Linked DNA regions of Tamandua tetradactyla. The protein of the gene in region 2 purifies or fractionates together with the protein of the main gene of each other region. This does not show direct contact. Links are inferred from orthologs where the notes say so. Each region holds a gene or a part of one and is shown on either strand. Other genes may lie near its edges.

Region 1 (15,529 bases), on a different chromosome or scaffold from region 2:
ACAGTACCAGTCAATATAGTTATATGTTTTCTCCAGCAAAATTCGCTGTACAAGGGCACATATAGGGAAACCCAGATTTAACCAGGGTTGGGAGTTTTACCGAGAAAGTAAAGAGGAAGCAAGGGAACTGAGATACATTAAGTGAGTGACTCTAACGCTTTATCATGGAATCTGAGCTGGATAATGGAAGAATTAAGCCAAATTTAGCTTTTGCACAAGGTGATGCAGGCAGGGAAAGGGGAGGGCCTCTGACCCACGCTTAGAACTGGTGCCAAATCCTTAATGGCCAGGGTCATTAAAATGTAAAACATAATCAAAGGGGGATCCTTCGGCAGAAGTTCAAATTAATTAGATTATCTGGATAGGCTGTAACCTCTGGAGCATACAATCAGCAGAGAAACAGGGGAGGGTCTGTGTGCTGGTTTGAAAGGATGTATGGACCCTAGAAAAGCCATGTTTTAATCAAAATCCCATTTCATAAAGGCAGAATAATCCCTATTCAATACTGTATGTTTGAAACTGTAATCAGATCATCTCCCTGGAGATGTGATTAAATCAAGAGTGGTTATTAAACTGGATTAGGTGATGACATGTCTCCACCCATTTGGGTGGGTCCTGATAATTTTCTGGAGTGCTATAAAAGAGAAAACATTTTGGAGAATGAAGGAGATTCAAAGAGAGCAGAGAGTGGTGCAGCACCATGAAGCAGAGCATCAGTCAGTGCTTTGGAGATGAAGAAGGAAAACACCTGCCGAGGAGCTTCATGAGACAGGAAGCCAGGAGAGAAAGCTAGCAGATGACGCTGTGCTCACCATGTGCCCTTCCAGATGAGGGAAAAACCATGACTGTGTTCACCATGCACTTTTTAGATGAGAGAAACCCTGAATTTCATCGGCCTCCTTGAACCAAGGTATCTTTCCCTGGAGGATACCTTTGATTGAACATTTCTATGGACTTGTTTTAATTGGACATTTTCTCGACCTCAGAACTATAAACTAGCAACTCACTAAATTCCCTTTTTTAAAAGCTGTTCCGTTTCTGGTATATTACATCCTGGCAGCTAGCAAACTAGAACAATCTGCAAGCCAGGCACCGGTATAATCATTTCGGCGTTCTATTTTTTGGTATGCCAGCCACCATTTTGTGTTTGTCTAGGCTGCCCATTTTTGCAAGATTGTGAATAAATTCTTGTCACCATCACAATCGGATGAGCATTTGTTCTCCTTCAGGTACAGCGTTCTTCCTAACAGATAAGGTGGGAAGAGAAAACAGATAGGGATGAGTGACAGTGAACAGGTGGTGAATTAGTGGACTGCAGGTCAAGTAATTTTTGAAGGTGAAGTACACTTCAGAGTATAAACTAAAAAGATAAGAGGTGATGATTTTGGAAAATGGGATCTTGAAATTGAGATTTTGGAGGGGTGGGTGGTGACAAAGTTATTGGAGAAAAAGAGGAAAAGAGGTCATGCAGTGGAAGCTAGGTATGGAAAGGTTCGAGATATGGATGTTGAAATCTCCAAGAATTTTGACACTGTAGTAAATGAGAGTGTTTATGAGCCAAGACCTAGAATAATCAAGGTCAATGGGGAAAAACGATCCTCAGGGTGAGGGCATCAATAGATAACATAAAAACTTTAAGAGAATTTTCAAAGAAAACATTGAGGATATTGAAGATATAAGTGATTTTGTTAATGACTAAACAACTTTGGGAGTTGGAAACTGGAAAAGGTTTTTGGAGTTGTGGTGGAGAAGTGGGAGATGGGAAAAAGTCTCAAGCCATAGAGGCATGAGGGTCTGGAGGGTGAGGGTTGACGAAAGTTTTCTTGTGGGGACTGCAAAAAATAGTGATAAAGGGCCTAATGAGATGACACATATACTGGAGATGAGGCAGTGAGTGTTGGAAAGGAGCACACGTTCTAGGGCTTTCTTGGCACTCTTGACAATAAAGGCAGAGAAGCTGTAAGAGGGCGGGACATACGCTAGGCACACACAAGTAACTCTGCAGATATCTTTTCAGCCCATCCCCCACTCTCATCTTCCATTTGTTTCCAGGCTCTGTCGAGAGATGTCAAATAGCTTTCATTCCCCATGGAAAGCTAGTGACTGCATGGAACACTGCAGTGTGAAGAATTTCAAGACCACACATTCAGAGTCAGGAGAGAGGGGAGATGGCTGCATCAGTGCCAATGTCTGCTTCTCCTAGTTTAGGGTGAGTCCTAAAACTCAATTCAATTCCTAGTTCTCCATCCTACCTTTCATGTTTCAAGCCGTCTCCTAGTCACTTATATTTTTATGATGGTTTCAGGACATTATCTGTACTACTTTTCTTAAGGCCCAACTTCAAACTTTCTTGAAGGTCATCTACTCAGCTTGCTGAGTTCTGGGCCAATGATTCCCAACTCTCCATTTCCAGATAAAACTTCATTCTTGAGCATTAAAAACTTGTCTTTTGGACTTTGAGCACATCAAATATGTATTCCAAAATGTAGTCATCATTCTCAGGGGAAAAGCTCACAGCTAGTTCACTCTCATTCACTCATTTGATCAACCCAAGTGTATGAGTTAGGGTTCTTTAGAGAAACAGAATCAAGAGGGAATACTTGCAAATATAAAATTTATAAAAATGTCTCACGTGACTGCAGGAATGCAGAGTCCAAAATCCACAGGGCAGGCTGTGAAACTGACGACTCCAATGGAGGGTCTGGATGAACTTCACAGGAGAGGCTCACCAGCTGAAGCAGGAATGGAACCTGTCTCCTCTGAATCCTCCTTAAAAGGCTTCCCGTGATTAGATTAAGCATCACACATTGTAGAAGACACTCCCCTTTGGCTGATTACAAATGGAATCAGCTGTGGATGCAGCTGACGTGATCATGATCTAGTTCTATGAAATGTCCTCATCGCAACAGACAAGCCAGCACTTGCCCAACCAGAGAAACAGGTACCACAACTTGGCCAAGTTGACACATGTACCTGACCATGACACCAAGTCATCTTCAATGCCTCCTTTCCCCCACAACATATCAGTCACCCTTTTCTATTAATTCCAACTCTGAAATTCCTTAAATCTGTTTCCTTTTCTCCTTCCCTGCTGCCTCTGCCTTGTTCACATCTGTACCTTTTCTCTGGTTGACTTGGAAAATAGATTTTACAATCCACCACACAGCAATCAGATTTATCTGTGTAAAATACAAATGTTTTCTCTTCCTTGAGGTCTTAGCGGCTCTACAACACACGCAGGATAAAGAATAAAGTTCTTAGCCCTGACACACAACACTGCATATGTTTGTCCAGGTGCTCATCTCTCTCAGCAGACGGCAGTAGACTATGATGGCTGTCAAGGTAGGAAATGTAAACCTCCATTATCACTGAATTATCAGTAACTATTTGGAAACACAGGATATATGCAATAAATGATAAGTGAATTAAAGCAAGTAGGCAGAGAAAAAGTATAAGAAGCAAATAAGTTTAGACTATCTCTTGTGAAAATGTACATGAGATCATTTTCCAAAACTCTTACTATCAGCTCATTCATTTCTGCTCTTACCAGGGATAGCAAAGGATTAAAAATCTGTTTATTTGACAATTAACAAAAGATGTATCAAGGGTGGGGATAGGGTCTGGGCATACATTTTTTTAATATTGGATCCTAGATTTAGCATTTTCCATTTTCCAGGAAAATTTTCTGCACTTCTTTTTTTAAACAGAAGTGTGATGGTAAATTACTTAATCTGTGGCTTAAATTTCCTTACTTGTAATTGTAAATGTAAAGTATATGGAATAGAAGTGCCCCATAATTAATAGTTGTGATAGTTACTTCAACTGGCCCTTCATTAAGCCCAGTAGCTTCTGAAAGGGGATGCACATATGGTTCATTAATAGAAAACTAGAAACAATTTTGCTATTAGACAATAAAAATAAAACCATGCTTGGATTTCTTAGAATAGGGCTCAGGCCATACAGATGGAGATATGGAATTCCTGTCTCTGGTCTCCCTGCTTCTTCTCCTTCCCAGCCTTTTCTATCCCTCTGTCCTCTCCTCCTAGGATTCTGTTGCCCTTTGGAGAAAGGCAGCAAAGTTCTGTGGCCCTCTGTGGAAACAGGCTTAGGTCGAGTGAGGACAGGAGGGCTATCTGATCTAGACTTCGAATTCACAAAGAGCCTTCAAGGCTGACTTTCAACATTATCTCAGATTTTGTTAATTAATATGTCATAGAAATACATTTACGGGACTGAAAAATCATATTCATTTAAAATTTGAGTTCCATGACTTGTCTCCTTCTCTAGTGAGCCAGGAAAAAATATTTTTTTATAAACTGCATATTTTTATGACTAGCACATTATAGCATATTTTATTTTTGTGTGTAATAGGTTGAACCATTTGAAATTGTTGATTTTTTTTGGGGGGGGGGGCGGAATGCATCGTCCAGAAATTGAACCCAGGTGTCCTGCATAGGTGAGCATTTTACAACTGAATCACCTGTGTACCACTGATATTTGTTTCTGACCTCTACAAACAATTTCATATGGTTCAGGTTGAACTATGTAAATAGTTTAAAATATAGAACCATTTCTTCTACTTCTGTTACAGCATTTCTTCACTGTCTTAATATACTGGGATTCTCAGAAAATGGCTTGGCTGATGGGGGTGAGGGGAATCGCCTTCATTCTTGGAGCAGTCCCAGAGCACAGCATCTACAAGAAAACTCATTCTCTTGCTGAAAACAACCATCTCTTATAACATATCTTCAATGCATTTTTGTGTTGAAAGAGCTACTTCTTTTTTAAACAGAAGAATGAAGAACTAGGAATAAAGGGGATATTGGAGAGACCTCCATCACATATTATATAAAATGACAATAATCACATCACCTACTTCACAAAATTACCATGAACATTACATGTGATCATACACTGCAAGGAACCTTAAAGAGTTAAAGGTACAATCACAAAATCCAATGCCACTTAAAGTGTGGTCTAAGAACCATTTTCGGTCTGTGAAGCCTTTATTTCTGTGAGATAAGTATGAAAAATTGACAGTAAGTGTCTAGGAAGTGTAATAGAAATTTGACAAAGTAATTTCATGTCTGTTATATCAAATAATAAAGAATCCGAAAATCTGGAATTGTATTTTGTAGGTCAGATTTTGTATTTCATTCTATAGTAATTTATTTTCATTGTATTGTTCAAAGGTGATAGACTAGGAATGAAGAAAAACTGGTCTTTCACTACTGATAGTATGAGAAGCCTTGATCTATGGCTATTTCTGAAATTTTGCTTAAGATTCATTAAATTCATAATGATAAACTAGTCTTAATTTTTATTTTTGAAACCCTGTTTCATGCCAGTATTTCATACCATCTGGTAACATGCCAGCATACAAACAGTTTCCAGAACAAGTCTGCTCTGTATTGAGTAACTTGGTTATTTGGTAGTCAGCACTCATTTTCCTCATAAAATAACTTAGGGTTATATCCTTGGCATAGCTTGTAAATCCAAGTTATCTCAAAAGATTGCTAAGCTATACTACAAAATTTAATAACTAACTATAATATTCTTATGATGGAAAAGATAGGCCTCTGATTTGCAACTCAGAAAATCTCTCTTTCCCATTGCCTGTGAGAAATGATGGTTCCTGGACCTAACATGGGAGTGGGAGCAAGGATGGAACTACTTCTGTAGAAGTTGCTTCAGTAGCAAAATCAAGTAGAAGAGTATGGGGGAATTAGAAGGTCAAGTGTGAGGGAATTCACTGGCCATGTTAATAAAATTAAAAAGAGAGTACTCTGAGATTCTCTAAGATTGAAATTAGGCAGGTTTTGCTGGATTCAAAACCCTGACTCTTTATTGCAACTGCCTCCATGTGCTAAACTTCAGGACAATGGGCTCCTTGAGTGACCCAGCACCAAGATGTCAGATGGACTTCATTCTGAATTGAGGGCTGTCAGCAACTATCTTGAGGGTTTTATTTGTCTTTTACTTTTTTTTTTTAAAGATAAGGTAAGGACAATTCTGGGGTTAGTAAAAATATTGCTCTGATCAATTAGCGATGTCTATCATGGGCAAGGGAAGAAGGGAAGGCCAACAAAAGAGCTGTTCTTTTGCTATCCTGCATCGAGTCTGAAAGGTGCAAACTTTCAACCCTTTCATTTCTGTATTACAGCAGAGACCAGGAGGAATTAGGAAGAACATGACTCTTCCGAAAATTTAGGAAAAAACAAAAGATGTGAAGGAATGTGAAGGAATAAAGAAAAAATATATAATAGGGAAACTTACCTGTTAAGATTGAGACAGGTATAATAAGTGAGTACATCTGAAAGTTGCTAATGGTTTTCAGTTTTTATAATATATAGGCAGAAATGGCCACAGACAATACATAGAGAATCCCACACAATTTGGTCATCTTATTTTCTTATTTACAAGCTAAGGTTTTCTCACTTTGTGGCACATGTGAGGAGGCATCTGATCTGGTTCCTGACCTAGTTTCCATGAGCCAGAGATTTTTTTCCTTGGCTCTACCTTGGAAAACTTGGGAACAAGACTCTCAGACATAAGAAAGAAGGCCACGCAATAGTCCCGGGCCCAGTGTTTTAGATCCTCATTCTAAATATGGAGTCCATATGTAAGGGTCTTCTCTTCTTCAATTATTGACACCAAAAATATCCCTAGTGAGAAGATCCCACTACAGTACCTACAAAAGCATAGATAATCTTACCCTATGGTGGGGTTCTTAATCCAAGTAGTCTATGGACAGAATTCAGGGGAAGTTTAAGAAATTGGATAAGAAAAAAATAGGCCTTTATTTTCAAGTGTAACTTAGCTTTTTTTCTTCATTTATGAAGGTTAGGCACCAAACTGCAGAAGCATTAGCAGCATTCGTGACTTTGCTACTAATGGAAATGATAGCTATTTTCATTATTACATTGCAGTTGTTGCAGATATCTCAGGATAACATTTACACTGGTCACTGTTTGAAGATGATGCTATTTAATGTGTTAATAGTGTAGCACACATATTACTATCAGCACAAATTTGTTTTAAATATTTTCACAATCGCATTTCAACCTCAGCGATATCCTTTACAATCCGATGTATTTGATTGGATGCACACAATAATATACATTATTATGAAAAAATATCTGTAGGTTTACCAGACTGCCAGAGCAGTCCAAAATACAAGAAAATTAAAGCTCCTGCCTATCTACCATCCAACATAACACAATATTCCTTGGGTCTGAATCAGAAATACATAAATGCAGAAGCACTGGGGTCAGTTTCGGGGGGGATGGGTCTGGAGGTAGGGCAGAGGAGATGAGAAACTGGCAACTGATTTCATTTACTGGTTGCCCATAAAAGCCACAGTTTATTCTGAATTTATAATTGTCTGTGGCCATTTCTGCCTATATATTATAAAAACTGAAAACCATTAGCAACTAATAAGTGAGATGTACTCACTTATTATAACTGTCTCAATCTTAACAGGTAAGATTCCCTATTATATGTTTTTTTCTTTATTCCTTCATATTATTATTGTTAAAGAAAAAAAATCTACCTTCATTTCTGTAAGCTGAGTTTGGATCAAAAAGAACTTAGGTTTCTAGTTCAAAAGAAATATTACTAGAAACATGATTTTTCTTTCCTCCCATTTATATGTTGTTATGCAGAGTTGCAATTTCAGTGTGAAATGTTTTAAGACATGTTCCAGTTTCCTTCTCCTATAATAAAAAAAAGGATCTTTATAACTTTACTCTAACCGTATCTCATATCACATACAAAAATCAACTCAAAATAGATTAATGACCTAAATGTAAGAGCTAAAAGCATAAAGTAGTTAGACAAAAACAGGAAAACCTTCATAGAGTCTCAGATACAACAGCAAAGCATAAGCCACAAAAGAATATAAAGAAAAATTCTAATTCTTTTATTTTAACATCTAGAATATATAGAGAACGATAACTGAACAACAAAAAGACAATCCATTTTAAAAATTTGGGGGACATTTCCCCCCAAAATGGATACAAATGGCCAACAAGCACATGAAAAGAAGTTCAGCATCATTAGCCTCAGGGAAATGTAAATCAAAATCACAACGATATGACACTTCGCTCCTACTAGGATAACTACTATTTTTAAAAAGAACACTAAAATGTTGGATAGCATACAGGGAAATTGGAATTCCCAGATGCACTGGTGGTAATGTTTTCCCCAGCCACTGGGGAAAACAGTTTGGAGGTTCCTCAGGAAGTTAAACATAGATTTACCAGGTGCCAGCAATTCCAGTCCTAAGTATATACCTAAAAGAATTGAAAGCAGGGACTCCCACAGATCACTGTACACCAATGCTCATAGCCAAAAAGTTGAAACAGCCCAAGTGCCCATTAAGAGATAAATGATAAAATACAGTGTATACATACAATGAGACACTATACGGCTGTAAAAAGCATTGAAGTTCTGATGCCTGCCACTACATGGACCGATCTCGAAAACATTAAGCTAAGTTAAATAAACCAAATACAAAAGGATACATATTGAATGATTCCACTTATTTGAAATATCTAAAATAATCAAATTCAGAGACAGAAAGCAGATTACAGGTTACCAGGACCAGGGTGGGGGTGGGTGAAGTTGGGGACTAGGGAGTTTCTGTTTAGTGGGATGAAAGTTTTGATATTGGATGAAGATGATGATGACAGAAACACAACATCATAAAGGTAATTAATGCCACTGAACTGAATTTTAACCATTAAAAATGGTTAAAATAGTAAATGTAATTGTTGTATTACCACAAAAAGTAAATTAATTAAAAAAACCTTTATTCTAGACTGTGCTTAACCGACTGGACTAAGGTTTCTCCTTGAAGATTAGGGAATTGACAGAGGTACACAGGCTGCTTCAGGGTTGTGAGTAGTTTGAGAAAGGAGGTGAAAGAATTGTTTCACACCGGCAGCCTAAAGAAAGGCCCTGGGAGACCGTTTCCCCTCCCGGGAAAGTATCTAGGGAAATAGGTCTCTGGTGAAATGGCCAAGGGCCAGGCCCAGGGCGGAGCCTGGCCGCTGGGAGACGGAGCCCGGCTGGGGCCGGAGATGGGGCGGAGCCGGCCGGCCAAGCGAGAAGGGGCCGCCACCCACAGTGCTCCCGGGCTGGGCGATCGGCGCTCCCAGCTCTTGCGCCATGGGACGGCTGGTGGCTCTGGGTCTCCTGGGTATAGCGCTGACGCTCCTGGGGGAGAGGTTCTTGGCGCTCAGGTAGGTGGGACCGTCTCGGACCGAGCCTTGGGGCGCGCTGGGCGCCTGGATGCTCCTTCCCGGGAGCTTCCCCAGGCCTGAGTCCTCGGTTTGGGGAAGGGGAAGGGAAGACCTTCGGGGCAGCGGGTGGTGAGCGCTCAGATGGGTGGAGGACTATTCTCCCCGCTCGGGAACCGCGGCGAGAGGTGAGGAACTTTCGATTGCTCTGTGCACCAGCTTGTTGAACACTCCCACCTCCAGCTTCTGGTAAAACTAGCAAAGTTTGGGCCGAATCTCGTGATATTTTATAAAGTTTATAACTCTTGACCACTTGCAAAGTTCCTTTCTGCCCGGGACAACCTAGTGTTTTGGAATTATCCAGGAGCAAACCCGGTGCTTTAATTGGAAAACAAAAGTATTACTCACGCATCGAAACTTTAATTTCTTTCAGGTCATTGGTGCTGCTTTTCTTTGTTGCCCAAATCGGCGCCAGTCCTTAATAAAGTTGTTTTGCATCCTTTTCCTCTTAGTTTGAGATTCTCCTGCTCTCTAATCTCGGCGCTGTAGATCAAAAACCTTTGAGATATTCAGCTACTGTTGTTACATCACTTCTTTATTTATCTATTCAATCCGGAGGCCTGAGTCCAAAATGCCAGTTTAAGCATTCCTAGGAGATATTGGAGTTTTAGTTAAAAGGAAAAATCGCTGGTGGATATACATATTTTTGAAATCACTAACTTAAATTTGATGAGCCTCAAGCAAACGAATTCAAGAAATATTGAGCCACCCAATTGTACATAAAGTGCTCTCATAGGTTCCTGTAGTACAGGAAGACACTAACTTTACTTTTAAGAAGTTTACTGTATTATAGGGGAGGAGAAAAATAAACAAATATAGTATAAATTGGGATGTCCAGACAGGTACAGAAGAACCCGTGTAGGCCTAAAAAGGAGAGATTACATCCTACAGTCACAGTTCAGGAGACAGAACAAGTCATTTGACATTGGCCTTAAAGGATGGTTGAAGCACTCATATGTGGGGATGAAAGAAGTCATTCCAGGTGGAAAGTGCAGCATGAGCAAAGGCAGTAAGAGGTTTGGAGACTAGCAAATAGACCAATCCGAGGGGAGAATAAAGTTAGAGATGAGAATCATAGGGGTTGGGGGAAGGATAGGTTCTGAGGCTGTTCAATTTAGGTTAAAAAATGGGGCCTACTTTTTTTTTTGATAGGCAAAAGGGAACCTGGGATATGTATATATCAACAGAAATTTGAGCCTGGGAGGATGGATTGGAGTAGAGGCCTCAATCCTAACCTTAGGATCTCCTGGAGAGCCGATTCTGATTCCATTGGCCTGGCTGAGGCCCACACAGTGGTGATTTTTATTTTTAAAACCTCTACTGATAATTCTAATGTCTAGCTACAGGGAAACTAGTTAAGGTTTTAAAATAGTTTGGAAAGGGTAACAGGGGCCCAAACTTTGAAACCTCAGAGATGAGAAGCAGTCCTGATAAAGCAATACAAGGTGAAAGAACGGTGCATGACGGGGGGCAGATTTGGGGAGGCGGAGCAGTGAAGGGACAGAGACAAAGTTTTTTTGGTAGGAAATGGACACATTGACCCTCATTTTCATGTTATGTAGATGTCCATCCTGCTCTGCAGAACATTCTTGAGTTAGATGATTTCATATGATCTGTTTAGCCCTCAGTTTCAAAGGCAGGACCAACAAAATTCACAAACCCACAAAGTTGTCACTAATATTCAAACTACCAATGCTTCATCAAGTTGGAGTTTTCATAATTAAGTCTTTTCTTCTTCTTAATCTTAAGATTTTAAACGTGTCGTTTTGAATGACAAATATTGCAAACCTAAGGAAAAGCAAAAAAAGTTTATTGACATAGGACCTTATTGACTTAGGTACTGACACACCTAGCATACCTTATGCAATTTATAATTTGACACATATTTTCCTTATAAAAGACATGGACATATGATAAACTTTACAGGACAGTTACTTTTGGGGCAGTAACCAATGGGTAGTAGAGCCCATATTGGCTGATGTGAGTATGTTGGTATGGGCATAGGATTGCCAGCTTTAGCAAATAAAAATCCAGGATGCCCAGTTAAATTTGAATTTCAGATAAACAATGAATGCTTTTTGTATAAGTACGTCTCATGGAATATTTGGGACATACTTGTACTAAAAATATATTTATCATTTGTCTAAAATTCAAACTAACTGGTGCCTCTGTTTTTAGAGCTAAATGAAGATAGTCATGTGATTGAGGAATATTGAGTGCCAACTGTTTTCAAAGTGCAGTGGACTGCTCAAAGGTACAATATGTCTTCTCTCAGAACCTTAGAGTCTATTTGGAAAAACACAATGTTCCCACTGCCCTGTAAGGCAAGGCTGTCAGAGGAACAGGAAGGAATAGAGGCATTTTGATGTTATTTTCATGCTAATCTAATGTTTATGATTTCACTGTTCTATTTTTAAAGATGGTACTTTATCACTCAGGTTATAGTCCCAGGTAGAAAAATGTAATCAAAGTTGTCTTTTTCTTTCTAAACTGTTGCTGGCTAATGTTTCCAGGGGAAGATGGCATAGCAGACCCACTGTTTCCACTCTTCCCTAGTTGAACAATAAAGGAGAAAGTGGGGGAAAAAAATATTGCCAGTTCAGGTACTCTGTGTTGCAAGATATATGGCTTCAAGTGAAGATGTGGGTGTTGTCAGAGACTCTCTTAAAGATGGGTAAGGAACCTTAAAAACAAGTGTCTGAACATTCCGCTTGATGACTAAGACCCTTTAAGACTGCTCCCTTAAGAGACAGTTCAGACTGTATTTGAACATCTCTGAAGGGGCAGCCTTTCTTCTTTCCTAACCACTAGCCTCCTTTATTGTGTAAATATTATGTACAGTGTACTGCACAAAAGGTGTAAAAATTGCTTTAATTAAACCAAAATGTGCATTTCCTGCCATTTGGAAAGAAAGTCACCTTGTATATATGCCTTCATTTAGTCTACATAAACTTCTTCCTTCTTGTATTATAGATGTAAAAACTGGAGGCTTGGAGAGGTTAAACAGGTAGTCCAACAGGTTTTAGTACCTGGTCTTTGGATTCCAAGTACAGTTTGCCCCAGTTCTGCCACACCCTGCTTTCTTCTCCGCCATTGGAACGACATTTCTCCAGCTTTCCATGCCTGAGCCTACATTATTAATTACTTAATGCAGGATTTACAGGGATCCAAGGAGTAAATTCCAAGGAGTTTTACAAAGTCTGTCTCTAAAAGATAAAACTTTTTCTTTAAAAGCTAAATTTTTTTTTGCTTAAATGTACATAATAAAATGGATATAATAAAATAAAATAAAAGTATAATAAAAGTCTACATAAAAGATAAAGCCCTTGCTTATAAGGATTTCATAATCTACATATTCCAACCCATTAGTTGTTTGTGAACCCAAAGGCAGTGAGATATGGAACAAAGTAATGTGTAGTGGTAATGCCGTGCTCCCAGCCTGCTGAAGGCATGTTGGCACCACAGCCTGGTGCCCCTCACTGGTACCAGCTGGGCTACAAGGTGGTAACTAACAGCCCCAGAGAAGAACACTTGTCTCATTTCACTCTGAAAGGGGGATGCTGTTTCCTAAGTGAAAAAGATAGAGAGTGAGTCACGTAAATGATTGTTGGTTCATGCTTTGTGGTCAGACAGTCTGAATTCATTTCCTTAGCTCCACTGTTTATGAGATCCGGGGCTTGTTATTTCATCTTTCTGTGCGTCAGTGTCCTAATCTTTAATATGGGGATAATAAAACCACCTGCTCCATAGTGGGATTGTGAGAAATAAATTAGTTCATTTGTGCAAAGTGCTTAGATCAATGCCAGGCACACAGTAAGGGTCCAATAAAAGTTCCCTTTGATGACTGTGATGTTCAGGTAACAATCCTTAACTGCTGGGGCCATGGACCCCTTTGAAGTCTGGTGACACTCTGACTCTTTCTCAGCATAATGTTTATAATGCAAAAAAAATGAAATACATGACTAGAGCTAAAACTTATATGATCAAACTATTTTTAAAATCTAATTATGATATGTGTTTCTTTATGAGAGTACTAAATGGATCTAGAGGTAGGTTTATACCTAGCAGTAGATATTTTGAAGTTGTGATAAGTGTAAATGTTATTTTGAGATATCTACAATAACTGAAATGTTATATAAAAATATCTGTGATTTCTCTTGGTGACAGAATGACAGGTGCTGCTAATAGTGCTATGATCTGTTGCCCACATTCATTATCAGAGGAAATACAGTTAGAGGTTAGCATAAAGATGTATTTTTCCCCAGTTCAAGTTCATGGAGCTCAAAATTCTATCAGTGAACCCCTTGAAAATCAGTGAACCCTAAGTTAAGAACACTGATGTGCATGTGTCCTGTGGGGGGTAGGGAGTGGGGGCGGGGGTGCTCATTTCGGGAATGATTACTGGCAATCAGTGAAGGAAGCTGGTATACACTCTTTCCTATATTATACATACTATATAATTGTAACTAAAAAGTACTTAACAGAATTGTAAAAATAGAGAGGCAGAGAGAAAAATTGAAGGAACCTAGAACAGAGAAAGCAAGCAGTTTTCTTCTTGAGTGCCGATTTTAATAGGTAGGTAAGTTTACCTGGAACATTGTGACTGAGGCTGGCTCTAGGTTAAAGGGAAAGAGGGCTGTGATTGATTAATGATGTCTGTCTGCACGATAGCACCGTGGCAACAGCTATGCCGTTTCTGACCTGGTACATTTATAGACCCTATAAACATTCAGAGTTAGGGAGAAAGTAGACTGAAGCAGAAGTAAAAAGATTTTCCTCCTCGCATATCATCACGTATTGATGTTTATAATATTTATCTTACTACTTGTCTGTGTATGTGTGACAGTATTTTTAGACTTACTGATATGCTAGCCCAAAGAGGTTTATTTAGCTTTCTCTTGTATATTCCCTAAACTCCTTGAATGTGTTACCAATTAGAAATGTTCTGAGCTTCAAGTAACACAAGCAAATTAATGGTGGCTTAAAAAAATAAGAGTTTATTTTTCTCGCATGAAAATAAAAATCCAGGATGCCCAGTTAAATTTGAATTTCAGATAAACAATGAATGGTTTTTGTATAAGTATGTCTCATGGAATATTTGGGACATACTTGTACTAAAAATATATTTACCATTTGTCTAAAATTCAAATTAACTGGTGCCTCTGTTTTTAGAGCTGAATGAAGATAGTCATGTGATTGAGGAATATTGAGTGCCAACTGTTTTCAAAGTGCAGTGGACTGCTCAAAGGTACGATATGTCTTCAACCTATATAAAATAATTCTGTAGGTTGGTCATTCTAGGGCTTGTTCAATGAATCGGGTCATGTCAAGGAACTGGCTTCCTTGATCTTTCACTGTTTGCTTTATATCCTTTATTCTTGCCATGTCCAGGTTGCAAAATGGCCACGGTAGCCCCCAAGCTTTTAGCGCTCCTCTTGGATCTGCCTATTCTACCGGGAACAAAAATATCTTTCCCAAAAGCCTAGATCGTAGGCTTACCCCTAAATGCAAAGGAGCTAGATAAGCAAATGTTTGGCTTGCCCATCGCTATAAAGGGAAGCAGTAAGGGAGGAAGGGGGATGAAAATGACTTTATGTTTGTCAGTCAGCAGACTTGGCCAACCTGGAATGCAGAAATTCACTAATGAACAGGGAACCAATAGTTCTACCAGGCCAAAAGCCTAGCACTTTTCTGCTGAAGAAATTTGAAATTCCTAATGGACAAAGAATGAGAGCAAAATCCTCTCTCCTTTTTTTTTTTTTAAATCATAAAAAAAAGCCAAGAAAAGATGAGTTGATTAACTAAAAGCCACGTACAACATTGTGTAATTCTGCAGTCTTATGGCAGTCCACATATCTAAAGTGATACTGTGTAATTACTGAACTGGTTTATGAAGATTGTCCTGTTAGCATAAGGATAATGGTCAATCATTTATGCAAAGCAAAGTTGACTATGAAAATTTGAAAATATTTACCCAGCACGCTCTATTACACTGTTCAAATTTTGTTACCTCAAACAGATATGTTTAATCCATATAGTTTATCTTTGAAATAGGTAGTCATAATTATTGTCACTATTTTTGTTCAAATAGGAATAATAGTAAGTTGTATAAAATTGACAATAATACCAATGTACAATACAAAGACTTGATGTAGTAATCACAGTTGTTACCCACTGACCTCTTTCTACATCTCACGCAATCTTTGGACATCATTCACATTCTTATT
Region 2 (15,616 bases):
GCATCCTTCTGGCTTCTGCCGGGGGTTTTCCTTCTGTATCTCCAAATGTCTGTGTCTAAGCATCTGCTTTCTGTGCTGCCCTGGGCTCTTTCTCTCTCCATGAGCACTTTTAAGGACTCCAATAAGCTAATTAAGACCCACTCTGAATGGGCAGAATCACATCTTCATCTAATCAAAAGGTCCTACCCATTAATAGGTCTGACCCTACAAGACTGGATTAACAGAACATGGCTTTTCTGGGGTACATAATAGTTTCAAACCAGCACATTTACCAATCTTACAGAGCTATTCATAACCACAAGAAACATATTTAATTCTTGCCAATTCTTTTTTTTAAATTTTTTTATTCCTAAGCAACATACATGTTAAATTATACAATAAAAAAGTTAAAAACAACAGCATATAAACACATCTTTTTATTTTTATTTTTTCCAATCCTTAAAATGTTGTAAATAAATAATTACAGATACCCTTTTCTATATCACTTTATTCAAACACCACAGACATACATGAAATAAGACTGAAGATCCTCCCCACTGGCTTCTCTGCCACTCACCCCCTTTCTCAGTGATATTCAGAACACACGTTTCTGTCCTTGAGAGGAAAGCCAGGGCCACTCCTGGCAGCACATGGCAGAGCCTTGAGTGAAGCTGGAGCTCCAGAGGATCCTTCCTCACTGCTCCAGCCAGCAAGACGCTGTGTCTACAGGCTCGGGTGGGCGGCATCTGGTTCTGTCCCTTATGCTCCTGTGGTGGCCTGAAGCTATGTACCCCACAAATGATGTTCTTAGCCCATTCCTGTGACTGTGAACCCTTGTAAATAGGACCTTTTGATGAGGTTACTTCAGTTAAGATGTGGCCTAACTGAATCAGGACATGTCTTCACCCTCTTACTGCAGTCCTTTATAAGCAGAATACAATTCAGACACAGAGAGGAAAAAAAGCCACAAGAAGAAGCCGAAGTCAATGGAATCCAGAGAAGTCAGGAGAGGCCACCATGTGCACTGCTACATGACAGAAAAGCCAATGACCAAGAATCACAAGTAGCCAGTCCCAGAACACTACACTCTTCTGGGAGAAAGAACACCTGGAAGACACCTTGATTCTGGACTTATCCTAGCTTCAAAATCATGAGCCAATAAATTTCTGTTGTTTAAACTAACCCATTGCATGGTATTTGTGGTGCCAGGAAATTAAAACAACTCCTCAAGCTTCTTTGTGGACCCACCAAAAGGACTTTTTCTTAGAAGGCCAAGTATTAAATTATAGGCTTGAAGGCCATAGGTCTCTGCTGCAAATACTCAAATCTGTCCCCACCTGTTGTGGCTCAAAAATAGCCAGAGAAAATAGGTAGATGAGTGGGGCCAGGAATGGCCCAACTAAATTTGACTCATACACAGGCTCCTGCTCTAGGACTAAGCCCAATTTAGGTTTAAGAGAATCACAAAGTTGTTAATGGACTGGGAAGAGGTTGCAACAATATTTTCTTGCTTTCATCTTGACTCTGCAGTAAGACCATAAACTCTTAAAGGACAGAGATCAGGATGTAAACTTCCTATAGAACTTCATCCAATGTTTATTGATTGAGAAACCATCAAAATGCACGAGTTATAGGAGTTCAACTGAATTAAATAAGAAGTTCAGAAATGAGAACTGTTGGTTGTTTGGGCTTTAGCACAGAACTTAGTAGTTACAAGGCTAGAGTGTGCCTACTTTTAAAGGTTAGGTCATGTAGATATTTCACAACATGCTCTCGAGTTTATTGGGTGTGTCTGGATAGGAAAGCAAATAATAGGAATAGTTCAGGGAAGGTTAAAAACTTTCTCTTCTGCTATATGTTAGCAACCATAGCAATCTCTAAATTAGACTCTATAAGAAACATATATTACCACATGGAGAAGTTCTGAACATCAGCAAAAGGATCCTACACCCCAGACTGCCTTTAGTGAATCCTGCTAAAGCAGGAACCCAAATGCTTAAATACTTCCTGAAATCAACATTATGTGATTTCTCATTTATTTCTGACACTCAATGGAGTAAGCAGTACCACAGTATTTTACAGGTAAGGAAATTAAGGCTCAGAGACGACATCCTGAGGTCACATGGCTCAAAAATGACAGAACTAGTAATGAGAATCAAGACTTTTGAATGCGAAGTTAAATGGTTTCCACCTCATCTCCCTTGTCCACCACCACACGTGCCCTAGCCACTGCACCATTCAAACTTCACTCCAGTTTGTATACTGATTATCCTCAGATTTGATAATGAATTAGAGACCAGCAGTCCTATTCACTCTGAGCCTACTAAGCATCCCCTTTTTTCTATGCATATTTGTCACTTGTAAAAATGACTAGCATTTACATTTTTTAAAGTACATCTAGGCTAAGCACCACTGGCAGTCCTCAAGCCCTGGCCTGTAGTCTGCTGTCCCACCACAGGTGGGGATGCGCAGGGCTGGGGTCTCCTCCTTTCTCCTGCAGGTGTCCTGCATGGGTAAAGCTAATGGTGGAACCTGGAGACACACCCAGTTCAAGCTCCAGGGAGCAAGAGAGGGAGAGAAGGCTTCTGGCTGACTCTGCTCCCCAGTGCCCCAGGAGCAAGCAGAGAGCCGGCCTGGACAGTCAGAGGGAGTGACATGGGCAATCATGCCCAGAATATAAGCTGCCTGCTGTTTCATCTGGAGTCAGGTAGGCAGACCAACAAATTTAGCAGGAGATCTGGGGTGAATACCAGAGTAGTTTGACTTCTATTTGATGGAACTCTCTGTACCTGTTTTACAGCCAACCGAGTGTGAACACACCCACATAGCAAAGGTACCTGCAGGTGCTTTTGGCTCACCTGTATTTGGGTGTTTACATAGGATGGGCTCAACTAGGCCACATCGTCATTTTACAGATAACCCCTCTAACAGTTTCTTTAAGTGACTAGCCCAAGGTCACTTAGGAGCTCCACCACCCACAAGTTTCAAAAATAACCCAAAAAACCAAAAGACTAAAACAAAACCGTGAGAGTGGATGTCAGTATATACTGTCCATGGCTTTTGCCTATGGAATGTTCACACAGTGTGGCAACAGAACCCATAGGTCAGGTCAGGAGGCCAATTCCATCCCTGATCTATCGGCTATTGGAGAAGCCACACTGGATCCAGGAACAGGTCCTGAATGACATGCCTTCCTGGCCAAGTGGAACATCCGGTGAAACCTCATCCAATTTAGCCTGCCAAGCATAGATAATCCGGTAGTTTAGTTTGGCTGGTGATTGACACCCTTCCCAGAGCTGTGGGTGAAGGGCCTCCTGAGACCAGATTAGAGATATCTTCATCTGAGCTTCAGCTGCAGGTAATGGAACATTCTTAAACACCCTTTTGGGAAAGTGGAGGGTAGGGAAGGGTTACCCACGAAACAGAGATCACATTGTCTTCAGGACCAGAGGGATTCTTTGTTCCGGATAATGTGACAAACATTGAAGGAACACAAAGACCTATTCTGCAAGTCCTTTTCTCTTTGCCCACCCGCTAAAATAAAAAGCCCCATTTCCCTCTGATTACTTTTACTTATTTATGTTAGCAAAAGATCCAAGCAAAGCATGAACTTCACTCTAATTTCATATGGTTGTTCAACTCACCCAAGTCCAAAGGCAAACCCATTCCTGACCTCCTCAGGAAAAGCCATTTTAATAGCTAAGTTTCTACCCAGGCCTCCCTATGTTCCAAGTTCCTCAAGAAAAGCTAATAAAAATTAGTCAGGAGAAATATACACTATTTCTCAAGACTGCACACAGTATTTAGATGACCACAAGGTTTAAAAGCCACGCAGCCTGGTAATGCTACTTCACCAACTGTTAAACATTTAAGAAAGTAAAAATTCCCCCCAAATGAATCTCAGACCTTGAGATGGACAGTCAGTCTGCAATTCCATGACTGACTGTTAACAGCACTCAGATTGCAATCAGGTGAGCTGCTAAACGCAAACACCCCTTCCTGATCCACTCTTCTCCAAGGTTTCCATCCACCTGTTCATGTGTACAGAAAGTCTCTGCAGCAACGAGGGAGCAAACTTTAAAAACAAATAACCGGAGTGCTTCCAGTTAAGATTTAGAGACCCTGAAAAGCCTTACAGGCATTTTGCAAGAGACTCATGACTAACTTCTGACCTATCCCAAATGTCCTAGGAGGAGAGGCACTCAGCTGCCAACAGCCTGGGATACCTTAAGATAAAAGGATTTCAGCGATAAAATAAAGCTTCTTAATAAGGTGAAGCCTGTCTACCACACAGAACTTATCTAAAGTTCTGTGGAAGCTGAATAGCTGTATTTTCTTTAAAACACATTATTGCCACTATTTGCTGAATTTTTATAATGTAAGGCACAGTGACAAGGTCTCTCTATATGTCATGTCATTTAATAACTCCAATAACCCTATAAGGCATCATTTATGCTCAGCAGAAACTGAGGCTGAGTCATTTGCCCAAAATGACAGAGCCAGTGAAACCTGCTTTCCTCTGCCTCCTGTCCTAGCCAGGTGCCCCTGGGTTCATCTACTACCAGAGGCGTGCTATTCCACAACCCGCACTGCTGGGGACCCACAAAGAGGAGGGCCACTCCTCTACTCCCAGCTCTGGGACCCTTATGGGGTGAGCCTCCTCTATCCCCTTCTGAGACCCATATAACAGAAGTTTAAGGGGAGGTTTTTCTAGTCCAGGGAAACACCTTCTCTGCCTTCCCCTCTGATCCACTGGCCCTCTCATTGTTGACACTTTTATGTGAAGGGCTTAATAGGTAGGCGAGCCCCAGAGTTGCCTGTAATCAGCACACCCTTACAGCTTCCCCATGCCCCGGTTTTAAGAAACTGTAGACACACAAATAGAGGTGAGGCACTCATGACCACCTACTCATGCCTACTCTAAACAAAAGCCAGCCCAGGGAATCAGGACACCCGAGTTCCGGGACACACCCTAATTACATGGGGGAGATGGGAAACTCAATTACCCTCCTCTGGGCCTCGGTTTCCAGAGACATAAAAAGGAGTTGATACGAACTTTTTCGTACGCACTCTTTGGAAGACCAATTGACTAATGTCAAGTTCTTAGGACTGTTACAACTTCGTGCTTGACCAATTTGGTTTTGTTTTTTCCTTGCCTTCCCTTCCCCCCCATCCATCCTCTGGCAAGGAAAAGGAAAATGAAGTGGTCGGATCTTCTCAACAACTGTACAGAGTTCGTGGGCATGTGTCACAATTTACAAAGAAAGAAGGAAAAGAAAAAAAAAAGGCAGGGTAATAAATCCACCCACCTTCCTTCCTTCCTTCTAATCCCAAATCCAACACTCAGAAACGAGGTGGCCACAGCTGAAACGAAGCAGGCCACACAAGCAGACCCCACTTTACTCTCTGGCGGACTACAGAGAGGAAAGCGTTGCCCGGGTCAGAAGCCGGAGAGTGGGGACCTCCGGGGACCCAGAGGTAGACCAACTTCCCGGATCCCACCGCTCGAGACGCGCGCCACGTCTGGGAACGGGGACGTCTGGCTGCTGCTCGGCCCGGGCACGGCCCCCGGCCTTTCCGACTCAGGCCCCGCCACAGCCCCCCACAGCCCTCCCGGGGCGCCGTGGCCGCTCACCTGCACGGGACAGAAGTAGAGCAGGAGCAGGACGAGGCCGGGGGCTGAGCCGCACGCCCTCATGCTGCCGGGCCGAGGCTGCGGGCGTCGGCTGCCGCCTCAAGTCCCCGTTCAGTTTTAGGACCCGGCGCGGGTGGACAGAGGGAACTCCGACCGGCAACAGCGAGCTGCGCGCGCAAGTCAGGAAGGAAGAACGCGTCACGGGCTCCTCCTACTTCTGGGCGGTGCCGCTGCAGGGACGCCAAGGGCTAACACCCAGCGCAGGCTGGCGGGATGGGGCGGGGCCTGGCGGGGCGGGCGGCGCCGGGCGGAGGCGGGCAGTTCTGTCTCTGGCAGAGCGCTATCTCCCCGGCCCGACCCTGCCGTTTTCGCGCAGGGTCGTGGCGTGGGATAGGGACTCCCAGAGCTGTGGCTGTGAACCGCTTGAGTTGTGCCAACAGCATGCGGTTTCTGTGCTTTAACTCATTTACCCCCTTTTGCGCCCCCTGGTTGGAGAGGGTGGGCGAGAAGATTTTAGCAAATACGAGTATTTGGAGACGTGTCTTCCCAATTAAGAACCCCTTCTTCAGCGAATTATGAGTTTATTCCGGCCCAAATACACACTCCGAGCAATTTCTCCTCTCAAACCCAGTTACCCAAAAGGAATCTGTGCCAGGATATCCTCAAGCAAAGCTCGGGGCGGCGACGCGCAGTGACCTGACCTTGCGGCGATCCAAGCGCGCGAGGGGCGGAGCGCGGAAGCGGTGCTGCCCTGCGTCCACCCGACTTGGGTTTAAAGGGGCTGGGCCACGTTCGGAGAAAGCGCTAGAAGGGCGCCATCTGCTGGTCAAGCAGTGCGGAGCAGGGGACCTTCCCCACCTCGTAGAATTTGACCCAGAGTCCATTTTTTTTTTTTTTTTTATGGGCATGCACTGGGAATTGAACCCAGGTCCTCTGGCATGGTAGGCAAGTATTCTTGCCCACTGAGCCACCGTGGCCCACCCCAGAGTCCGTTTTTAAACTGCAGGTGAAGTCAAGTAGTACAAAAATTAAGAGGCGTCTTCGTTTTCGAGTTTTGTACTTAGTATTATTTTGCCTTGCACTTATTTTTTAAAATTTTTTTATTGTATAGTATATATATATATATACACACACACACAAAGCAGAGAAATAAAAAAGCAATAGTTTTTAAAGCACTCTTCAAGAAGTGGTTACAGGATAGATTCCAGAGTTTGGCATGGGCTACCGTACATTCCTCTCATATTTCTTGCATTTATTTTTATAGTATGCATTTCTGATAAACTTTTCACTCAGATTTCAACTCTTCAAAACATGCCAAATCATAGGTCATTTCCATTTTGAAGTTACAAATTTCTTGTCCCAACAGTGGAAGCCAGTTTAGAATGAAAAGACTAAATATTCACCTGTAAATATCCACCAAACCCAGCCATGGGTAGGGCTATGATGCAGGTGACGATTGTGATAGTTCCCGTCACTACTCTAGAGAGTGTGTTTCAGTTTCTTTCTTGCATCTTTACCTCCTCAGCCTTGGGGAGGCCACCTACCTGCTTGCAATGAAACTACAGGGATTCCCTCTTGTTGTAGTTGGAGTCAGTTGTCAACTTGGCCAAGTGAAGGCACTTAGTTCTGTTGCTGTGGACAAGAGCCAGTGGTACGTGAACCTCACTTATTGCTCATTACATCTGCAGTTGGCTAGGAGGCGTGCCTCCTGCAATGAATGATTTTTACTTAATTGGCTGGTGCTTAAATGAGAGAGCTCAATGTAGCACAGCCCAAGGAGCGCAGCATTCCTCATCTCAGCACTTGCAGCTCAGCCCAGGCCTTTGGAGATGCAGAAAGAAATCACCCCGGGGAAAGTTGTTGGAACCCAGAGGCCTGGAGAGAAGGCCAGCAGAGACCATCCTGTGTCTTCCCATGTAAGAAAGAACCTCAGTTGAAAGTTAGCTGCCTTTCCTCTGAAGAACTAACAAAATAAATCCCCTTTTATTAAAAGCCAATCTGTTTCTGGTGTGTTGCATTCCAGCAGCTAGCAAACTAGAACACCTCTGGACCTTCAACCTAGCTAGCTCTTCCGTCAATATCTGGAACTTCCTAACCCTCACCTGAATGTATGCTTGGTAGTTGTCGATGGTGATAAGCAGTATGCTCTAATGCAGTGGTTTTCACAGTGTGGTTACTGGACAAGTAGCCTCAGTGTCTGCTGGGAGCTCCATGCCAGAGCTGCAGAATCTGAGTCTCTGAGGATGGACCCACGCACTTGGGTTTGTTTTTTTCTCCTCCAGGGTTTTTAAGTTTTATTTTTAATTTAACTTATGTAGTTTGGCTACATACAAAGGTTTCAGTTTTTCTTTCTCTTTTTTTATGATCATTCCATTCTGCATATGTAATCAATAAGTCACAAAATCATCACATAGTTGCGTATTCATCATCATGATCATTTCTTAGAACATTTCCATCGATTCAGAAAAAGAAATAAAAAGACAACAGGAAAAAATTCATACATACATACTCCTTACCCCTCCCTTTTATTGATCACTAGCATTTCAATCTAAATTTCTTTTAACATTTGTTCCCCCTATTATTTATTTTTATTCCATATGTTTTACTCATCTGTTGATGAAGTAGATAAAAGGAGCATCAGATACAAGGTTTTCACAATCACACAGTCACATTGTGAAAGCTATATCATTATACAATCACCATCAAGAAACATTGCTACTGAAACACAGCTCTACATTTTCAGGCAGTTCCCTCTCCATTACATCTTGACTATCAAGGTAATATCTATTTAGTGCAGAAGAATAACCTCCAGGATAACCTCTCGACTCTGTTTGGAATCTCTCAGCCATTGACACTTTATTTTGTCTTTTTTCACTCTTCCACCTTTTGGTCGAGAAGGTTTTCTCAATCCTTTGATGCTGAGTCTCAACTCATTCTAGAATTTCTGTTCCACGTTGCCAGGAAGGTCCACACCCATGGGAATCATGTCCCATATAGATAGGGGGAGGGCAGTGAGTTTACTTGTTGTGTTGGCTGGAGAGAGAGGCCACATCTGAGCAACATCCATGAATGATGGACCTAGCATCACTTCATTTTGCTTATTTTTGTTTCCACTTTTCCCTTCCTTTTGCTCAGAATCACAGTAGGACTTCCATGGACCCTAGGCACCTTTGCCTTCATGAATCCCTAACTCCACAAACAAAAAAAAAATTATTTTACAATTGCATTGGTATAAAGATAAGCATAATCCATGTCATATTCATTATTATATATTATTATTACATACTCATTTTTCTTTTTCTTTTAAAATAAATTAAAAATTAAAACCCGATAAAGTATCTTGGGCTGTAAGCGCTGTGCCTAATGTGGTTAATGGAGAACTTGGCCCTGCTTTTCTGCTAATGTCCTAGAACTACCCGTAGTATTCACAGGTATTGTAAGTTTTGCTGATGGTCTGCTCAATGAAAGGTACTGGGTCTAGGACCATAGCTAGAGCTGGATATAAAGAACTATCTGTAGACAGGAGGGTGTCCTGCTGACTACAGGGAACAGGAATAGGTGGCCAGCTCTGTCAGTCTACAAAGAAGCCAAAATATTTTGATGAAATATAGGAAACTTTGAATTAATGCTTCTGCTAGACCCCTAGGGAGTTTCAGGTTGAACATTTTTGTATACTTCTTTTTTGTAGTAGATTTCACTCTTCTTAAAAACTTTTTAATTATATATATATAATTTTAAATTATGTATAATAAAGTTTATATATGTATATATATATGTATAATATATATATATGTATATATAAACTGTGCAAATCTTACATGTATCGCTCAGTGAGTTTTTATATACTTGTATTAGTTATCTATTGCTGCATAACAAATTACCCCATACCTTAGTGGATTAAAAGAATGAACATTTATTGTCTCACTGCTTATTTCAGCCAAGAATCTGGGTGGTCCTGGGTCAGGCTTTCTCCTGAGGTTGTTATCATGATGTTGGTCCAGGCTACTATTTTCTAAGGCTTCACGGGAACTAGAGGAGCCGCTTCCAAGAGACCTCATGTGGCTCTGGGCAGCAGGCTTCAGTTCCTGGCTACGTGGGCCTCTCCATACATTGCTTGAGTGTCCTCGAGACATGGCAACTGGCATGGACAGAACTCAGAGTAAGTGGTCCAAGAAAAAGCAATACTGAACCTCACAAGTGACATGCCATCATGTCTGTCATAGTCTATGGTTACCCAGATCAGTCCTGAAACAGTGTGGGAGGGAACCACACCAGGGCTAGGATATGGGGAAGAGGGGATCACTGGGGTCATTTTGGAGACTCGTAACCACCACCTAGATGAGAATAAAGAACATTCCGGCACTCCAAATTTTCCTCATGCCCTTTCCCAGTCAATATCATCACCCCAACACCACCAAATATAACCAATATTCTGACTTATATGAGCATGGCTTATTATTATTATTATTATTATTATTTTGGCATGAGCAGGCTCCAGGAATCGAATCCGGGTCTCCATCACTGCAGGCAAGAATTCTGCCACTGAGCCACAATTGCCATGGATTGATTTTGACAGTTCTTAAACTTCACGTAAATGGAAGCATACTATATATTCTCATTGTATTCTACATTACCTCTTCTTTCTCTCAAAATCATGCCTATGACATTCATCTACACTGCACATAGCAGTAGCTCATCTTTTTTATTGCTGAGCAGTATTTCATGCTGTAAATATTCTTTGGTGGACAGTTTTGACTATTATGAATAAAGTTGCTATGAACATTCTTGTATATGGATTTTTTTGACATATGCACTCAGGTCTTTTAGGTTCTGTAACAGACTTAATTTTTTTATTGGAGAAGTTGTAGGTTTATAGAAAAATCATTCAGAAAATACAGAGTTCCCCCATATCCCCCCAAGTTTTCCCTATTCTTAACCCTTTGCTTTAGTGTAGTAACTTTGCTATAATGATTAAATGATATTATTTTAATTGTACTGTTACCTATAGTCCATAGGTTGCATCAAGGTTCATTTTGTTGTACGGTTCTATCATTTTTAAAAAAATTTTTATTCTAGTAACATATTTTTATGTTTATAAATTTTGACTTTATTGAGTTTATAATTTAGTGGTGCATTCACAATGTTGTGCTACTATCACCACCAACCATTACCAAAACTTTTCCATCACCCAAACAGAAATTCTTTACCCTTTAAGCAAAAAATCACATACTTAAGTGAATTTTACAGACATCATTTAAAATAGTTTACAGTTACAACCCATGATACAACTTAGGGCCAGTGGTTACAACTGAGTCAGAAATGGTGCATTGTTGGTCAGATTTAGGATGAAATGTTAGTCACCCAACTAAGCATACATGAGTTAATGATTAATTCAGTCATGGGTTGCAGTGTAACTTCCACTTAGATGTGGCAATAATTTGCAGCTTAACAATCAGTGGTTCAAGCTGATAGTCCCTTCTCTGTAGGACTTCTGTCACTTGTCACAGTTTTGTTTGCCCCAGGGTGATTTTTGGTCTACCCTTTCCTAAAGTCGGGAGTCCTGCTCCTAGTAAATTGGAGTAGGGATAATACCAGCATTTCCCTCTTTAAAGATCAGAGGATTAAATCCTAGAGAGGGAGGGAAAAAGAAACAAAAGAACCAAAAATAGAGGAAGTGATTCATTTCGTTGACAAAGAAATCGTTGACATTGCATCTAAGAATTGAAGATTTTTAGTAAGTTCCTTCAGTTGTTAAAACATGACTTCACGAGTATTTTTTAAATGATCTTGTTTAAAATACTGCTATAAATAAGGGTAGGGGCACCAGGAAAAATTTCTAAAACTTCCCAGACCCACTAATACATAAATTATTTAACTGAAAGTCAAGTATAATCAGAGAGCCTAGAGAAAATATTTTTATTGGCATTACTGTTTTACCTCATTGTGTTCAGTAAGTTAAACAGAGTAAAGAGGTAGGCTGGACACTTCTTAGGATAGAGGAGAATGAAAATTATTCTAATTTTTGTTCATAGAGTATATAACTTTTTGTGTGTGTGTTCTAGTTTGCTAGCTGCTGGAACGCGATATACCAGAAACGGAATGGCTTTTAAAAGGGGGAATTTAATAAGTTGCTAGTTTACAGTTCTAAGGCTGAGAAAATGTCCCCGTTAAAACAAGTCTATAGAAATGTCCAATCAAAGGCATCCATCCAGGGAAAGGTACCTTGGTTCAAGAAGGTCGATGAAGTTCAGGATTTCTCTCTCAAATGAGAAGGCACATGGTGAACACAGTCAGAGTTTCTCTCTTATCTGGAAGGGCAAATGGTGAACACAGTCAGGGCTTCTCTCTCAGCTGGAAGGGCATGTGGCGAGCAAGGTGTCATCTGCTAGCTTTCTCTCATATTCATGAAACATGACACTCCGGGGAGGCATTTTCCTTCTTCATCTCCAAAGGTCACTGGTTTGTGGGCTCTCTACTTCTTGTGGCTATGTCATTCTTCTCTGCTCTCTGTGAATCTTCCATTCTCCTAAACGTTTCCTCTTTTATAGGACTCCAATAAACCAGTCAAGACCCACCCAAATGGGTGGAGACATGTTGTCACCTAATCTAGTTTAACAACCACTATTGACTAAATCACATCATCCAGGGAGATGATCTGATTATAGTCTCAAACATACAGTATTGAATAGGGATTATTCTACCTTGATGAAATGGGATTGTGATTAAAACATGGCTTTTCTAGGGGACATACATAATTTCAAACCAGCACAGTGTGTGTGTGATTTTCCTCCACATTTTGAATCACAAGCAAGTTACAAAATTACGAACTGATGTCGGATATATGGTTTGAAGAATCAGAATATGGCATTGCACTGGTCATGGCTGGGCAATAATATGGCTCTCCCGGACTAATTTTTAGCATTTTTTCATAGGGAGATAAGATTCACAAATTAAAACCAATGAACCAGCAGAGATGAATATATTTTCTCTCATTTAAGTATGAAGATAGTAAAACATTTACTTACAGGACTATCCACTTTGTACCACACATATTTTGCATTCCCATTGGTGGCACAAAGTAATCACTTTGATATTGCCTCAATCTTGGGGACATACAAGGCGCCACGAATTCTGATAGCTGTCAATGATTCCTAGAAAATCTCAGAAGTGGTTTCACAAATACAATTCTCCAAATATAACTAGAGTCATTTCAAGAAAACTATTTATTTTAATTTAATGTCACCCTAGGCCCTGACCAGTCATTGATCCATATTCTCCCTGTCACAGGGTCAAAGTTCTTTGAAGACTGAACAGGTTCACCAAGGACAGCACTGTGGAGCAAAAGAAGTCTCTGCCATTATGTTATATGCTTACATTTCTTCTGGGGCTTGTCCAATCCTCTCGAAACTTTTCCTCACTTGATTTACATTTCCCATGGACTGTCCATTTCATCTCATCTCTTTTGCTGAGTTCCCTTCTTCCTTGAAAGTTTCTTCATCAGTTTAACACCTCTTTTCTTCCACTGGAGCCTCCCTGGGGGACCTCATCCACCCTATGACTTTGGCTATTGTTCTGGTTTGCTAGCTGCCGGAATGCAACACACCAGAGACGGATTGGCTTTTAATAAAAGGGGATTTATTTTGTTGGTTCTTCAGAGGAAAGGCAGCTAACTTTCCACTGAGGTTCTTTCTTACGTGGAAGGCACAGGATGGTCTCTGCTGGTCTTCTTTCCAGGCCCCTGGGTTCCAACAACTTTCCCCAGGGTGACTTCTTTCTGCATCTCCAAAGGCCTGGGCTGAGCTGCTAGTGCTGAGATGAGGAATGCTGAGCTGCTTAGGCTGTGCTACATTGTTCTCTCATTTAAGCACCAGCCAATTAAGTCAAACGTCACTCATTGCAGCAGACACACCTCCTAGCCGACTGCAGATGTAATTGGCAACAGATGAGGTTCACGTACCATTGGCTTATGTCTGCAGCAACAAGATTAGGTATGCTCACCTGGCCAAGTTGACAACTGAATCTAACTAACACAGCTATTGTCTCTAAATAGATGACTTCCACTTTAATAACAACAGCCTGGTCCTTAACATGAAGCTGTTACTTCCAACTGCCTCCGAGACAACACCTCTTTTTAATATTTCATAGATTCTTCAAACTGAACATGTCCAAAATCTCTATCTCCTCCCAAATTTTCTATTCTTCCCTATGTCCTACCATAGATATGGCATCATCCACCATGTAAGTCTTATGTTCAGAAAAGAGTAATCATTTTGGTCTGAGACTACTCTTCTTAGAAAGGTCCACCTATCCGGGAACTTGGCTGGCAAACAGTTCTCAGCACTGATATAAAACTTGCCGTAAATGTGCCTAAACTGTTTGTACAAACAATGTGGTTTGTGCTGAATATCTGCTTTCCCTCTGAAAGTCTGGAATTTTGGTAGCTAATAGGTCGAGGGTGTCTATGTGAGTGGCTCCCAATAAAAACCTTGGGCACTGAGTCTCGAATGAGCTTTCCTAGGCGACAACACTTTGCATGTGTTGTCACAAGTCATTACTATGGAAATTAAGCACATCCTGTACAAATGCAATGGGAGAGGACTTCTGGAAACTTGAATTCATTTTTCTCTACCCTCACTCCTTTTCTCTTAACAGATTTTGCTTTGTATCCTTCTGCCGTCATCTTAGCCATGAATACAACTATATGATGAGTCCTGTGAGTCCTTCCAGCATTATCATCAAAACTGGGAGTGGTTTGGGGCACTCTGACACCTTAAAGGGGTCCTTAACTCTCTTTTCTGTAATTTCTATATTCAATTAGTCATCAATTATTATTAGTTCTACCTCTACAAATTAAAAAAAATATGTCCTATATTCTCCACCTTCACTGCTGTGATACTAAAACTGTGACTCCATCTGGAGACCACTGTCCCCATCCTCACTAAACAAAGCAAAGCTGTAAGATAAGGATAACAATAGTTATTTTCTATGGTTATTATCACCAGTAATTGAGAAAATACATATACATTTTATGAGATTGTATATGTGAAATTCTTGACCCATCACACTTTCTAAACAAATGTTCTGTTTTTATTGTTGTTAATAATCTGTAGATTCCTCATCTGTTTAGTTCTAGCACCAAATCACCTTGTTATGAAATTAGGAGTTTAGTTTCTCACCCCTACAATCTGCCCAACTCAAAATGCAGGTATCTCCGTGTTCATGGATTGGAAGACTAAAGATAGTTAAGATGTCAATTCTACCTAAATTGATTTACAGGTTCAATGCAATACCAATTAAAATCCCAAAAAACTTACTTTTCAGAAATAGAAAAACCAATAACCAAATTCACCTGGAAGGGCAGGGTGCCCCAAATAGCTAAAGAAAGGAAAAAGAATTTGGCAGTCTCATGTTACCTGATTTTAAGGCATATTATGAAACTACAGTGTTCAAAGCAGCATGGTACTGGCATAAAGATAGATATACTGACCAATGGAATCGAATAGAGTGTTCAGATACAGATCATCTCATCTAAGGACAATTGATCTTTGTTAACGCAGTCAAGCCAACTCACCTGGGACAGAACAGTCTTTTCAATAAATGGTGCCTAGAGAACTGAATATCCACATGCAAAAGAATAAAGAGGATCCATATCTCACACCTTATACAAAAATTAACTCAAAATGGATCAAAGACACCCCCTATTCTATCTTTTTTTTTACTTGGATGGTGTTTACACAGGAGTTGTCTCAGAGTTATTTATTACACAGTGTGTTTATTTTATGTACTTATCTGCATTGTGGAATATTTCTTAATAAAATGGTTTTTTAATTACTAAAAAAAAAAATAGATCAAAGACCTAAACATTAGATCTAAGACCATAAAACTGTTAGAAGAAAATATAGGGAAATATCTTATAAATCTTATACTAGGAGGCGGTTTCCTAGACCTTACACCCAAAGCACAAGCATTGAATAAATAAATAAATAAATGGGAACTCCTCAA

What was found.
Region 1: the proteins of NPC1 (region 2) and PON2 purify together in Homo sapiens (affinity purification with mass spectrometry; 3 studies listed by BioGRID and IntAct, with this or other methods). This does not show direct contact. The link is inferred for Tamandua tetradactyla from reciprocal best matches to the Homo sapiens genes NPC1 and PON2.

Annotation. Positions count from the first base shown.
Region 1 is NC_135327.1:120,444,809-120,460,337, forward strand, and holds the start of PON2 (serum paraoxonase/arylesterase 2), read left to right. Parts: upstream 1-9,074; 5' UTR 9,075-9,171; coding exon 9,172-9,245; intron 9,246-15,529. UniProt on the Homo sapiens protein: Capable of hydrolyzing lactones and a number of aromatic carboxylic acid esters. Has antioxidant activity. Is not associated with high density lipoprotein.
Region 2 is NC_135344.1:59,856,751-59,872,366, reverse strand, and holds the start of NPC1 (NPC intracellular cholesterol transporter 1), read right to left. Parts: upstream 5,801-15,616; 5' UTR 5,678-5,800; coding exon 5,615-5,677; intron 1-5,614. UniProt on the Homo sapiens protein: Intracellular cholesterol transporter which acts in concert with NPC2 and plays an important role in the egress of cholesterol from the endosomal/lysosomal compartment.